Tamandua tetradactyla: one gene and its partners. The main gene of each other region encodes a partner of the protein of the gene in region 3 in a complex. Links are inferred from orthologs where the notes say so. Each region holds a gene or a part of one and is shown on either strand. Other genes may lie near its edges. The genes, in order: POLR2H, GTF2H5 and GTF2E2.

Region 1 (3,748 bases), on a different chromosome or scaffold from region 3:
CAAAATCCAAACCTCATATCACCTATGTCACATAGTGGTCATTCTCTCAGCCATCAAAAAACTACAACTCACAAGCATGTAATCACTGCTTGATAAATACCTGTCTATCTCAATTCTTAAATGCAGCAATTTCCTTGAGGTTACTCAGATTCTGCTGATAATCATTTATTCCATGAATTAAATAAGGGTCTTTCTACGCCACTTTATCTACTCGTCCTCAGAGGGTATTTCAATTAGCCTCTTCTCAACTCCCTCACCTGGAAGGCCGGTCATCTGTGGGGTTGTATTCACCATCATCTAGTGTACCATCTTCATACAAGGTACTGGCTATGACCAATCGGAATTTGTCACCTGGAAATAACGCCAATATACGAGCATGAAAACAAGTTGTAACATCAAAAAGTCCCTTGCTATTATCTGTGTACAACACTTACCCAAATCTACAGGGTAAATCTGAATGTTTACATCTAAGATGAGGTCCATCTTGAAAGATTCGCTCTCACAATGCAGTCGAGACACTGGGGGGAGTGAAAAAAGAGGGCAGAAGTAACTGCCATGCCCAGAACAGACCCACTTTGGGGGTTATATGCGACAGAGCACAATCGAACCCAGCTGCTCTGCATTCACTGGCGTCTCCTCCACTCTCATAGAAGTACAGGCTCCACCAGAACCAGATATGCAAGAAGGAAAAGGGGATGAAAACTATGGCTAGGAAATGGAGTCCCCCGAAGAGAATCAAAGGTCCTCTGGCAGGGAATAATATCCAGGTTCTAGCCCTGTATAGGTAAGAAACTACCTGACTGGGCAACGTATTCATTCATCCACAGGTTTAGTCTTTCTGTGTTAGGCTATGTGCTGAGAGGATTGCCAGGATGTATAAGGACTGGTGTGCACCTGAAAGAACATTTTGGTCTCCAGGCAAAGGAAGAGACACCAAGGAGAAACAATTATTGATCAGTGACAGAACATTTATACCAAGTAGTTAACTAACTCAGAGAGGACTTCACAAACAGCTAAGGATTCTGAAGGCAATACAATATAAACTCAGAATTCAGATTATTTGCTGTGCACCCTAGGGTGGGTTATTTAACCTCTCCGGCAAAATACAGAAGTCACCACTTACCTCATGGGGGCTGTGGAATGAGTAAGATAAAGTGTGTGTGAGGTGCACAATGGAAAGCGTAGCAGAGCAGGGAGCGATTATTATTATTATTATTTTACTTTTTTATTTTTTTAAACATAACAACATGCAAAAACGAACATTCTTACCATACGATCATTCCATTCTTGATATATAATCAATAACTCACAATATCATCACATAGTTGTATATTCATCACCATGATCATTCCTTAGAACATTTGCATCAATTCAGAAAAAGAAAAAAATAAACTCATACATATCATACCCCTAACCGCCCCTCCCACTGACCGCCAGTATTTCCATCTACCCAATATATTTTAGCCTTTGTTTCCCCTATTTTTTTCTATACCCCTTATCACGCCCTTTCATTGATCACTAGCATTTCAATCTACTAAATTAATTTTAACATTTGTTCCCCCTATTATTTATTTTTAATCCCTATGTTTTACTCATCTGTCCATACCGTAGATAGGAGCATCAGACACAAGGTTTTCACAATCACACAGTCACACTGCAAAAGCTATATCATTATACAATCATCTTCAAGAAACATGGCTACTTGAACACAGAGGGAGCGATTATAATTACGAAAGATAACCAATCTGCACCGTGACAAAACGCCACCCAGGCACTGGGCACAGCATGTGTGAAGCCAGGGAGAACTCGCAATCTAAGTTTCCTCAACAATAAAAACAATAATGTTGTTGTTTCCAAACAACAATTTCCTAAGGGAGGTCCCCTACATCACGGCCTGCCGGTAAGGGCAGGCCACGCAAGTCAGGACGAGACGGGGGACCCGGGGGCGTGTCGCAGAGGAGGGCTATAGCCCCTTCCCCTCCAAGCGCGCCGGCAATCCTTACCTCGGTCAAACTTCTTGCCCTCCGGGTCAATGTCTTTCACATCGAAAATATCTTCAAACAGGATGCCCGCCATCGTGAAAAGGCCACGAGAGCAGCGGGGGTGCCGGATGCGCGACCACGACTGGGGGTCCGCACACCCCCTCGTGTGGATTTTAGAAGAGTGGAAGGAAAAGGATAGCGCCTAAACAGCGGGAGCCAGGGCGTCGCGCATGCGCAAAGCTGGCCATAGTGCCTCTACTTCCGTCGCGTTCCTCTCGGGGCTTCATAACTTCCGCTCCCAGTAATAGCATCCGAGAGATTCCAGGACTGGGGGGCGGGGCTCCGGTTGGCCCCGCCCCTGACCGAGGCAGAGGTGGTGCGAGTTCTCTAGCTGGCCTGGTCTCCACTGCGCCCTCTTCAGACTCTCGGTTGCGAAGGCGGGAAAGCGTGGAGGCATACCTCTGACTGGGACCTTGATCCTTGGCCCAGAGAAGCCCGGCCCTAGCCCTACCCTGCCGGTCCGCGTGTCTGCCGAGGGCACAGTCCGCCCCGAGGGCGGGCGGAGCAGAACCCCGCCTCGGGGGCACTGGCTAGGCAAGGCGCCGTGCCCAGGCCCTCCAGCTGGGATCGAGGTCCCCCGGGGCGGCCCGGACCGGCTTGCCCTGCTAGACGTCACCTGAGCCGGGTCCGTCCGGTTTGGGAATTTGCCGTGATGTCACCACAGGGAAAAGGAAAACCTGCACTGTCCCCTCCCCACCACTGCTCTCTTGTCCTGGGCCCTGCTCGCTTCCCCGGCCGCCCTCCCCGGAGAATTGCCCCTCAAGCCGGATGATGCCCATTCCCCCACCACTGCCCTCTCCCTCTGGACACTGATCTCCTGTATACCCCTGCATCTCGGCACAATCCTCTTCTTGGCTACCAGCTCTTTCCTCGCACTGCCCCTTCCTCCTGGGGCTGGCTCCCCTCCCCCTGCGCACCCTCTCTGCCTCTTTCATCCTGGTGCTGCTCCGTCCCGTATGCTACCCCTTTCCTAACTGCCCTCGCCCTCTCACTAACTTCGCTCTGGTATTGCCTATCCACCGTTGGGCTTCCCCAACTCTGTACCCTATCTTTCCCCGGACCCTGACAGGGGACACCAAGCCCCCGCAGGCCGTTCCCCTAGGGTGGCGAGACGTGAGCAGCTCCTCGAGCTTCTCTTAGGGCCCAGCGGGGGAGAAGCGACCTCTGCCCCCCACGCCCGCCAACCAGGAGTGGCCGCTCCGACACCCAGCTCTCCCTTCCCGCGGGCCTTACCCCTCTCCAATCCCTCCCTACCTCGTCAGCCACTCCACCCCCACCCCCAGGCCAGGTTCCTCCAAGTGCACCTCCGAGAGGCGGGGGTCCGGAGGAAGGGGAGGAGGACGGAGCCCCAGGGTCTCGGTACCAAGAAGCACCTCCCCTCCCCACCGCTCTTTTGTCCAAAATGCCCCCTTAGAGAGGTCTATCCAGGCCCAGCCGAGCCTTTAGGGCCACCCCCCACCCCCACCCCCACCCCCACCCCTGCCGGAGCAGAGAGGACGGCGCTCCTTAGGTTCCTTTAGACAGCTCCAACAGCCCCCGACTCCAGGCCAGTCGGCCTCACGGTCGCCGACTCCTCCACGTGCCAGCGGACCGGCCCCCGCCCCAGCCCCGGGTGCTCGCACGGCCCCGCGCCCTCGGCCGCCCCTCCCGAGCCAAGGAAGGCGGCCCCAAAGCAGACCCCGACTGCGCTGGGCCGGGCTCTAGCG
Region 2 (3,748 bases), on a different chromosome or scaffold from region 3:
TAACCTCATAGCTGCTGATATATAACCAACATAGCTTTTTCCTCTATCAATTTCTTGACGTGGGAAAAGTTGTGGGTTAGCCACATAAATGGCTGAAGGAGGAATCTACTTAAGGTTTAGACAAGCATCATTTTAGCTCAGGCCACTGCCATTTGTTATCTGAGAGACTGCAATAGCTTATCCTTACTGATATCCTTGACTCTAGCTGATCACTTCTCTAATCTATTCTCCACAAGGCAGGAAATCTAATCAGGTTAACTCTTGGGTTTTAAACACTTAAGAGATTTAAAGGCATGGAATACCAGGCTTTTTTTTTTTTCTTTTTCATGATTTGGCTCTGCCAATCTCGCCAGTCTCACTTTTATCATTCTGACCTTCCAACCAAATAGACAAAAATCTAAGCTCCCAAGATAGCAAACTATTTATCTGGAGTTCCTTGAATTGCACAATGTTATTGCTCACTTCAGAGAGGTGATTTAGCTAAGCATGAGATTATATCATTTTAGGGGCACAAAGCACAGTAAATAGTATTTGAAACAATGGGAGGGTCCACAAGGCAGTGTTCCCAGATGAGACAGAATTCCTGGTGGCCAAACTGGCAAGTGGAGACAGAGCCAGACTGATCCAGCAGTTCAGGGATTAAGACTAGGTGAACCTGTGTTAAAACTAAGCCCTGTGTTAGATTACTTTGCGGAATTCAGCCCATTACGGTTTCTAGTTTCTCCTCTGGGATTTGTATAAAGGCATTCAAAAAACTTTCTTCAACTGGTTCTGTTGTTTTTCTTTCTTCCTTTCTTTTTTTTAAGATGGCAGTTTGAAATAGTGAAGATTTAGGCGAATTCCTGAACTACTGCGGTCCCTAAAATTCTATTCAATCTGATGATTTGAGGGGTTTACAAGGCCTGTTTCTCCAAAGAGTGCTAATCTAACAAATAAAGATGCCTTGGATTATATAAACTGTTGAAAATAATCCCAATTATATTAATTTAACAGAGACATTGGAATGTGGCACCAGGAATGAATTTAGCAACAAAAACTGCCCATTTGTTATGTAAGTAAGAAAACAAAAGTTGAGGAAGTAGGAAAAGATTTTATTTCATTGATATTAAAAGAAAAAAATGGATAGGATTTTAGACGAATACATATAAATCAAATTCAGTATGTAGATTTTAAAACTCACAAAGTATCAAAACTACTAACCATTCTATAAGCACTCCTTTCAAGACGTTGACCATTTTTCCCACTCAGATGCAATGACTTCAAGAATGCTAATAAAAGGGAGAGATGACAAAATTAAAGAACATCAGTTGCTATACTTTGAGATTTCCCTCATTTCAAATATTAAATGTCAATATATAATATTTAAGTCCATGAAAGATAAAAGTGCCAACATTAAGAAACAGATTGAGATTCTGAATTTTTAACAAGATTAAAACGAGTCTCTTTATATTATTTTACCCAATGTCAATTAATCATAATGAAAGCAACATGTTTAACTCCACACCAGTGTGTCCAACCCAGGTTTAAAACATATCCATTACTGGAGAGATTTACTTTCCCACCCAGAAGTATAACAGCTAAGATCCTGGGAGGCAGGAATCACAGAATGGTAGTTTTGAAATGGGCCTTAAAAACTATATAGTAAGCCCAAGAATCTCATTTCACAGCTGGCGATGAGATTAAGCAGCAGCTCCAGCCAAAAAAAAAAAAAAGGGCAAAAATGTACAAGCTAGGTCTTTCACCAAACTACGTCCCTCAAGGATTTGCATTTGAAGGAAATCAACAGCGTACGCCCACTAAACCCTCGCACTTTTTCATCTGGGCGCGGAGCAATGCATGCTCCAAAATAAATCTATGATACTGCAACAAAGCCTACAAAAACGGCCACCCGAACTTGTCAGGAAAGACCCAGAGCGGGTGGGGACCCTGGCTACTAACCCAGTACCTGGAGAGCAGATATGTGGCTTTCCCCAACTCTCTTCAGTTTTCGGATCCCATCGTTTCCCACGTACCCCACTCTACCCATTTACTCCAAGGCCCAGTACGCACCTCCACCTACAGACGCAGCCGAGCCTCGGCGTCGCAGACGGAGTACGACTGTGTGAGCAACGTGCACGTCACCACGCTCTTGAGGGTGGAGCGCGCCGGCGGGAGGCGGAGCGAATACCCGGCCCGGTCTGCGGGGGTGGGATCACGTGCCTCGCGCTACTTGGGAGGAGGGTGCTGGCTCCCAGTGGCGGAGAGGGTGGGCTCCGCGCCTTCCCTCCTCACCCCAGCGACTGGGTGCCGGAGTGAACGGTTGGGGGCGGGCAGAGTCTGCGCTGTGCAGGTAGGAGGGGTTGGGGCTGGGCTTGTGGGAGCGGTCCTGGCGGGCGTGGGAAGGCAGGGTTCGGACCCGAACCCCAGGCGCAGGTCTGGACTGACCGCGGACATCGGCCGCAAGGCGCGAGCGTCTCTCTCCGGACCTTGGAAGCCTGGCTCTTCTCTCTCACTAGCTGCTCATCTCTTTTCTCCCCCAGAGTAGAGCACCTGCCAGTAGCATAAGCCTGGGCTCTGTAGTCAGGAAGACATGTTGACAAAGAGGAGACAATTTAATCATTCAAATCTCAGTCTTCCGTACGACAGCCTCTTGTTCACGCTCTGACCCCAGTGATTGAATAGCTTTAATGTTGTGAGGTGTCCAAACCTGGGTAACGGTAATTTTGAGGTGAAAGACGCCAAAAGGTTCTAAAATTAATCCCTTCTCCGAATTCTGATCTGTAGTCTGAGCTCTTTAATTTTTTTTTTTTTTTTTTTTAACAAAGTGAGATACGAGGTTCTTGCTTTCTGCCTTAGGTTAAATTATACTTCCCCTAGTTAAGCGCATGAGATCTTTTAGGAACCTAGCTTTTCCTAGGTTTTCTTTTTCTTTCTCTCCCTCAAATCTTTTTCCTCCTGTTGGTTTCCATGTCATTGCTTGCTCTCTTTAAAATCTGCTTTTTCCTTTTCTGGTCTACATTCTCTTTCTTGACCATCTCATTAGTTCCATCACGTTGAACAGCCACTATTGAGCTCCAGTAGCTGGTAAAGTGCAGTACCTGCACTTTAATGTACTGTGAGCACTCTAAATTCGGCCTCGTAAATTGAACTAGTTCTTATCTCTCATTCTCATTTGAAAAAACTTGAATTTCTCTGGATGATCTAGATTTAAAACCTCCATCCATGTATTCAGCAAATATTTTTGTGCTCCTGTTTTATGTGCCATCACTATTCTGGATGCTGGGGATACAGTACTAAACCAGTAACTAATTTTAGTAGGGGAAGGGAGACACCAAACAAATCAGTTAACAAGAAGGTATCAGGTGGCAGTGTGTAACAGAGTAACGAAAGGGTTACTTTGCTTAGGGGATGTCAGAAATGGCCTTCAGGAAAATTGCTGAATGTGAACGTTACTTCTGTAGGCCTGCAATAACTGGAAATTTTAATAGCATAAAAAGGTGTAATTTGTAACAGCAGTCAAAATAAAGGTATTGCTTCAGGGATAGAAAGTAGACCAGCTGAACAGGATAGAGAGCCTACATGTACATCTGTGGGAGCTTAGTATTCCAGTAAATGGTATTATAAGGCAGGGGGAAAGCAGACTATTCAGTAAATGGTGCTGAGATATGTGGTATCCATGTGGAATGAATATAAAAGTGAATTCCTCCATTATACATTCACAACAATAATTTCCGGAGGGATTAAAGACCTTAATATGAAAGACACATTT
Region 3 (3,748 bases):
AGACAAAAATAAATATCTTCAATACACACAAACATCACTCAAACCCATCTGCCAAATACATAGCTCTCAACAAGAGTTACAACTCAAAATCACCTTTTATAAGTTCTCTAACAATTGTCGTATTTACTCACTCATTTATTCATCCAACACATATTTAATTAGTGCCTATTATGTGCCAAGGACTGTGCTAGGGAGTGAAAAAAGAAGTAAAATTATTCTTTTAAACTCTACAGCTGTGCTGTCCAGTATGGTAGTAGTCATTAACCACACGTACCAATTGAGAACCTGAAATGTAGCTAGACCAAATTGAGATATATTCTAAGTGTAAAACACACACCAGATTTCAAAGAAAATATAACAATCACCTAAATACTTTACATTGATTATGTGTTAAAACGATATTTTAGATATACTGGGTTAAATAGAATATTAAAATTCATTTCACCTGTTTCTTTTAACATTGCACTAGAAAACAACATCAGGACTTTGCAGAAAAAATCAGGAAGTAGATTTAGGCCCATTGCAAACAAAAACAAAAGAGAGAGAAAGGGTAATCTCAAGTGCTTATATATGAAACTATGTACCTTAAAAACTGATGAACTCTCAATTAACTAGTGATGAAGAGGCTAGATGAGTATCTGTTAGAAATATCTACAGAAAATTCCTGATTTGGGAGGCTTGGACTAAATTAGCCCCTCAGGGATTTTTCTCAATTCTAAAATTCGACAAGTCTAAAAACTTTAGCTAAACCAGGAAGCTACAGATCAATAAACAAGAATTTACAAAAACATTCTTCTCTTGTCTGAAATCTTCATAGATGCCTGCAGAGGATCTAGAAAGAGCTCAAGCTATGTGAATGAGTATGACATTGTTAAGATTAGTATTCATAATTCAGTAAGATCCTGGAGAAAAAGGATTCCATCTCAAACACTGAAAGGTTTTAAGCACAAGGTAGCTCAATAAATATTTAAGTGAATAACAAATTTTAAAAATCATTAAATTGCTCTAGCCTTAGGATTACTGGTCTCAACAAGATGTTTTATTAAACATCTTCTGTTTGTGAGGCATTGTGCTCCAAAGTTTTAAAAGGTCTGGAAGATAAATCCTTGCCCTCAAGCAGCTTACATTTGAGAACACAAAGGTAAACAAGCATGGTGCATAAAAAGCAATAAATAAATAAAATGTGATTCGGAGTATTAAAAACACAAGTGTCGATAAGCAACAGAGTTAAGCAAAAAGTGGTTAAGTAAAAAGTGAAGTCACTGGGCCCAAAGTCAAAGGCCAGCCCTCTTGTCTCAGTTTCAGTTCCCAGAGTCGCATGGCCCTAAGCAATCCCCTAGACCTCTCTAAATCCAATTTTACCATAAGTAAAAGGAGGATACTTTCAGCACTATTTATGTTTGGCCCAATTATAAGGACAAAATGAAAAAATGTTTTTGAATGCAATTTTTAAAAACTTCAAGCTCCATGCTATATACATAAAGGTCATCACTACAGTATTACTATTTGAATTGGATCTGGAAATAAATAACAGAATGGCTATACTGGGGCAAGGCAGGGAGGAGAATATTTTGGGAAGAGGGAAAGTGTCAGTATGAGAATAAGGAATGAGAATTCACAAGTGACATGGTAGGGGCAACAAGCAGATCGTAATCTCCTAAAACAGGAAGCATTTGTATTTCAATTTTTATTGTTCATTTCACCTACAAACATAATAAATCTGAGCTTTTAATAACGATTTTGACACAAGTTTAAATAAAGCCTTACTGTTCACAAAGACCTAAAGGCTTACTGTCTTTGATCCTCACAACTCTATGAAATAATAAAGCATCAGGTTTATTTCTCCTTTAATATGTGAAATCTGAAGTGAAGAGGTACAGCAAAGGCGACACAGCTGGAAAAAAAGGGCTAGGACCCGAATCTCCTGACTCCTGGTTAAGTGCTCTTTACACCAGACCTGGAAAGCAGGTCAAGGCCTCCAAACAAAGGCGACCTGGGTGGCACCTTCTCGATCTCTTTCTTTCACCACTGCATGCTCTTCCTAACTTTTCTCCACTTCTTCCCTTTTCTCGGATTACAAAAACATTTCCATTGAGGTTTACATCTCGATCAGACTGGACACATCCCCACCCACATGTTTACATTTAAAAAAAACCACGATGACCACCCCACAGGTTCCGTTTGCTGTTGTATTCTTCCACGGATGAACATCGAGAAGCCAAAAACTAAACCAAAATCTTCTGGCTCCAAAGCACAGGTCCTCTCCACTACACCATCCGACCTCTTTCAACCTTTCTACTCTTCTGTTTTGCTGCTTCCCCCGACTAAACCTCGAGGGTGCCACTGACACCCAAGCACCCTGCTACGAACAGCCGGCGGGCTGAGAGGAAGCTGCTTCCCTCCCAGACGACAGAAATGTAGAGGTGCGCGGAAAGGCATCGCAGCTTTTCTGCTTTACAAAAAAGTCTTTAGCCTTTGCACAAAACTATGAGAATTAAACTTGAAAAGTCAGTACCAACTAGGTCTCCAAAAGCCAGCCTAAGAAATAGTCCGTGGACGAGTATGTGTCTAAATCACAGCCTTTATTTGTCTGGATACCAAAGTTCGCTTAAATGCTTCTGGTGTAAACTTGAAGGCACTCAAAGGAACAAATCAGCCGTCCGATTGCGAATTTCCCTCTTTCCAACCCAAAAGTTTGCTAAATGTACGCTCCGGCCTAAAGGACAATGCTCCCACGGAATCGTTACAGTGTTTAGAGGAGTTTCGAACAGAGGACGGCACCCCAGCCTCCCGGGGAGGTGGAACACACTCCCGCCCCCCTCAGTCCCGAGGAACCACAGGCTGGGGGTCCGCGCCCCACTGCCGGCCGCCAGAGCCCCTACCTGAGCCAGGAGGGCCGCCCCACGCGACCCGCCGCTGCCTCTCGGGCACCTCCGCCCCGGCCAGCCGCCCACACCGGCGCGGCCGCCCCTTCCTGCTCCTCGTCAGCGCCCCCGCCTGCCCGCGCGCGCACCCAGCGCTGACCCGCTCGCCGGGGTCTCGGCACTGGCGGCGGCGGCTGAGGCGGCGACGCGACCCGGGGCTCCGCCCGCCACTTCCTGATCGGGCTGCTAGGAGCAGAGTCCCAGCAACCACCGCGGCGCCGGCGCTGCCGAGAACGCGCGTGCGCATTCGCGAGCCAGGCCACAGGTACCTGGGGCGGGGACTCAGCCTTTCTCGGGCGTTCAGATCTCCATGACAACGGGAGGGTGGCTGGTAGTGGGACTGAGAACCAGACTTGGGGCCGGCGCGGGATGGGGCCGCACAAAGGAATATGGAAGAAATATATTTCCTTTGCAGAGATTTAAGGCTACTGTGACTTTACCTCAAATGCCAGTCCTCAGCACCTGAACCTCTGAGTACATTGTCCCAGCCGTTTCTTTTTAAAGTGAAGCTAAATGATTTGCTCAAGACGGCACAGCTAGCAAAGACAGCTCCTGAAGTGGAGGATTTGTCCCAGTCTCTGAACTCCCAACCAGGGTTTTTTCCACTACAACTCTGAACTCTGTGGGAAAGCATTTCGGATTTTGCAGGCAACATAAAGGAGTGGACATAAAGCAAGGGAAAAGATCCTCGGCCTTGCCCTCATGGTGCAATGTGCTGGAGATCAGACTTCCTGGGGCTGTCCTTTCCTCTCTCTTATAACCTACAGTTGCAGCCAAGACGATGCTTAACCACTCTCGTTGTTTAATTACTTAGTACTGGTTAC

Evidence for each region.
Region 1: GTF2E2 (region 3) and POLR2H share a complex: the UniProt entries of both Homo sapiens proteins name them as parts of the TBP-based Pol II pre-initiation complex. The link is inferred for Tamandua tetradactyla from reciprocal best matches to the Homo sapiens genes GTF2E2 and POLR2H.
Region 2: GTF2E2 (region 3) and GTF2H5 share a complex: the UniProt entries of both Homo sapiens proteins name them as parts of the TBP-based Pol II pre-initiation complex. The link is inferred for Tamandua tetradactyla from reciprocal best matches to the Homo sapiens genes GTF2E2 and GTF2H5.

What each region holds. Positions count from the first base shown.
Region 1 is NC_135336.1:2,713,851-2,717,598, reverse strand, and holds the start of POLR2H (DNA-directed RNA polymerases I, II, and III subunit RPABC3), read right to left. Parts: upstream 2,479-3,748; 5' UTR 2,077-2,478; coding exon 2,004-2,076; intron 519-2,003; coding exon 435-518; intron 352-434; coding exon 258-351; intron 1-257. UniProt on the Homo sapiens protein: DNA-dependent RNA polymerase catalyzes the transcription of DNA into RNA using the four ribonucleoside triphosphates as substrates.
Region 2 is NC_135328.1:150,966,630-150,970,377, reverse strand, and holds the start of GTF2H5 (general transcription factor IIH subunit 5), read right to left. Parts: upstream 2,162-3,748; 5' UTR 2,050-2,161; exon of another isoform or gene 1,946-2,049; intron 1,269-1,945; 5' UTR 1,236-1,268; coding exon 1,201-1,235; intron 1-1,200. UniProt on the Homo sapiens protein: Component of the general transcription and DNA repair factor IIH (TFIIH) core complex, which is involved in general and transcription-coupled nucleotide excision repair (NER) of damaged DNA and, when complexed to CAK, in RNA transcription by RNA polymerase II.
Region 3 is NC_135352.1:12,982,032-12,985,779, reverse strand, and holds the start of GTF2E2 (transcription initiation factor IIE subunit beta), read right to left. Parts: upstream 3,016-3,748; 5' UTR 2,883-3,015; intron 1-2,882. UniProt on the Homo sapiens protein: Recruits TFIIH to the initiation complex and stimulates the RNA polymerase II C-terminal domain kinase and DNA-dependent ATPase activities of TFIIH. Both TFIIH and TFIIE are required for promoter clearance by RNA polymerase.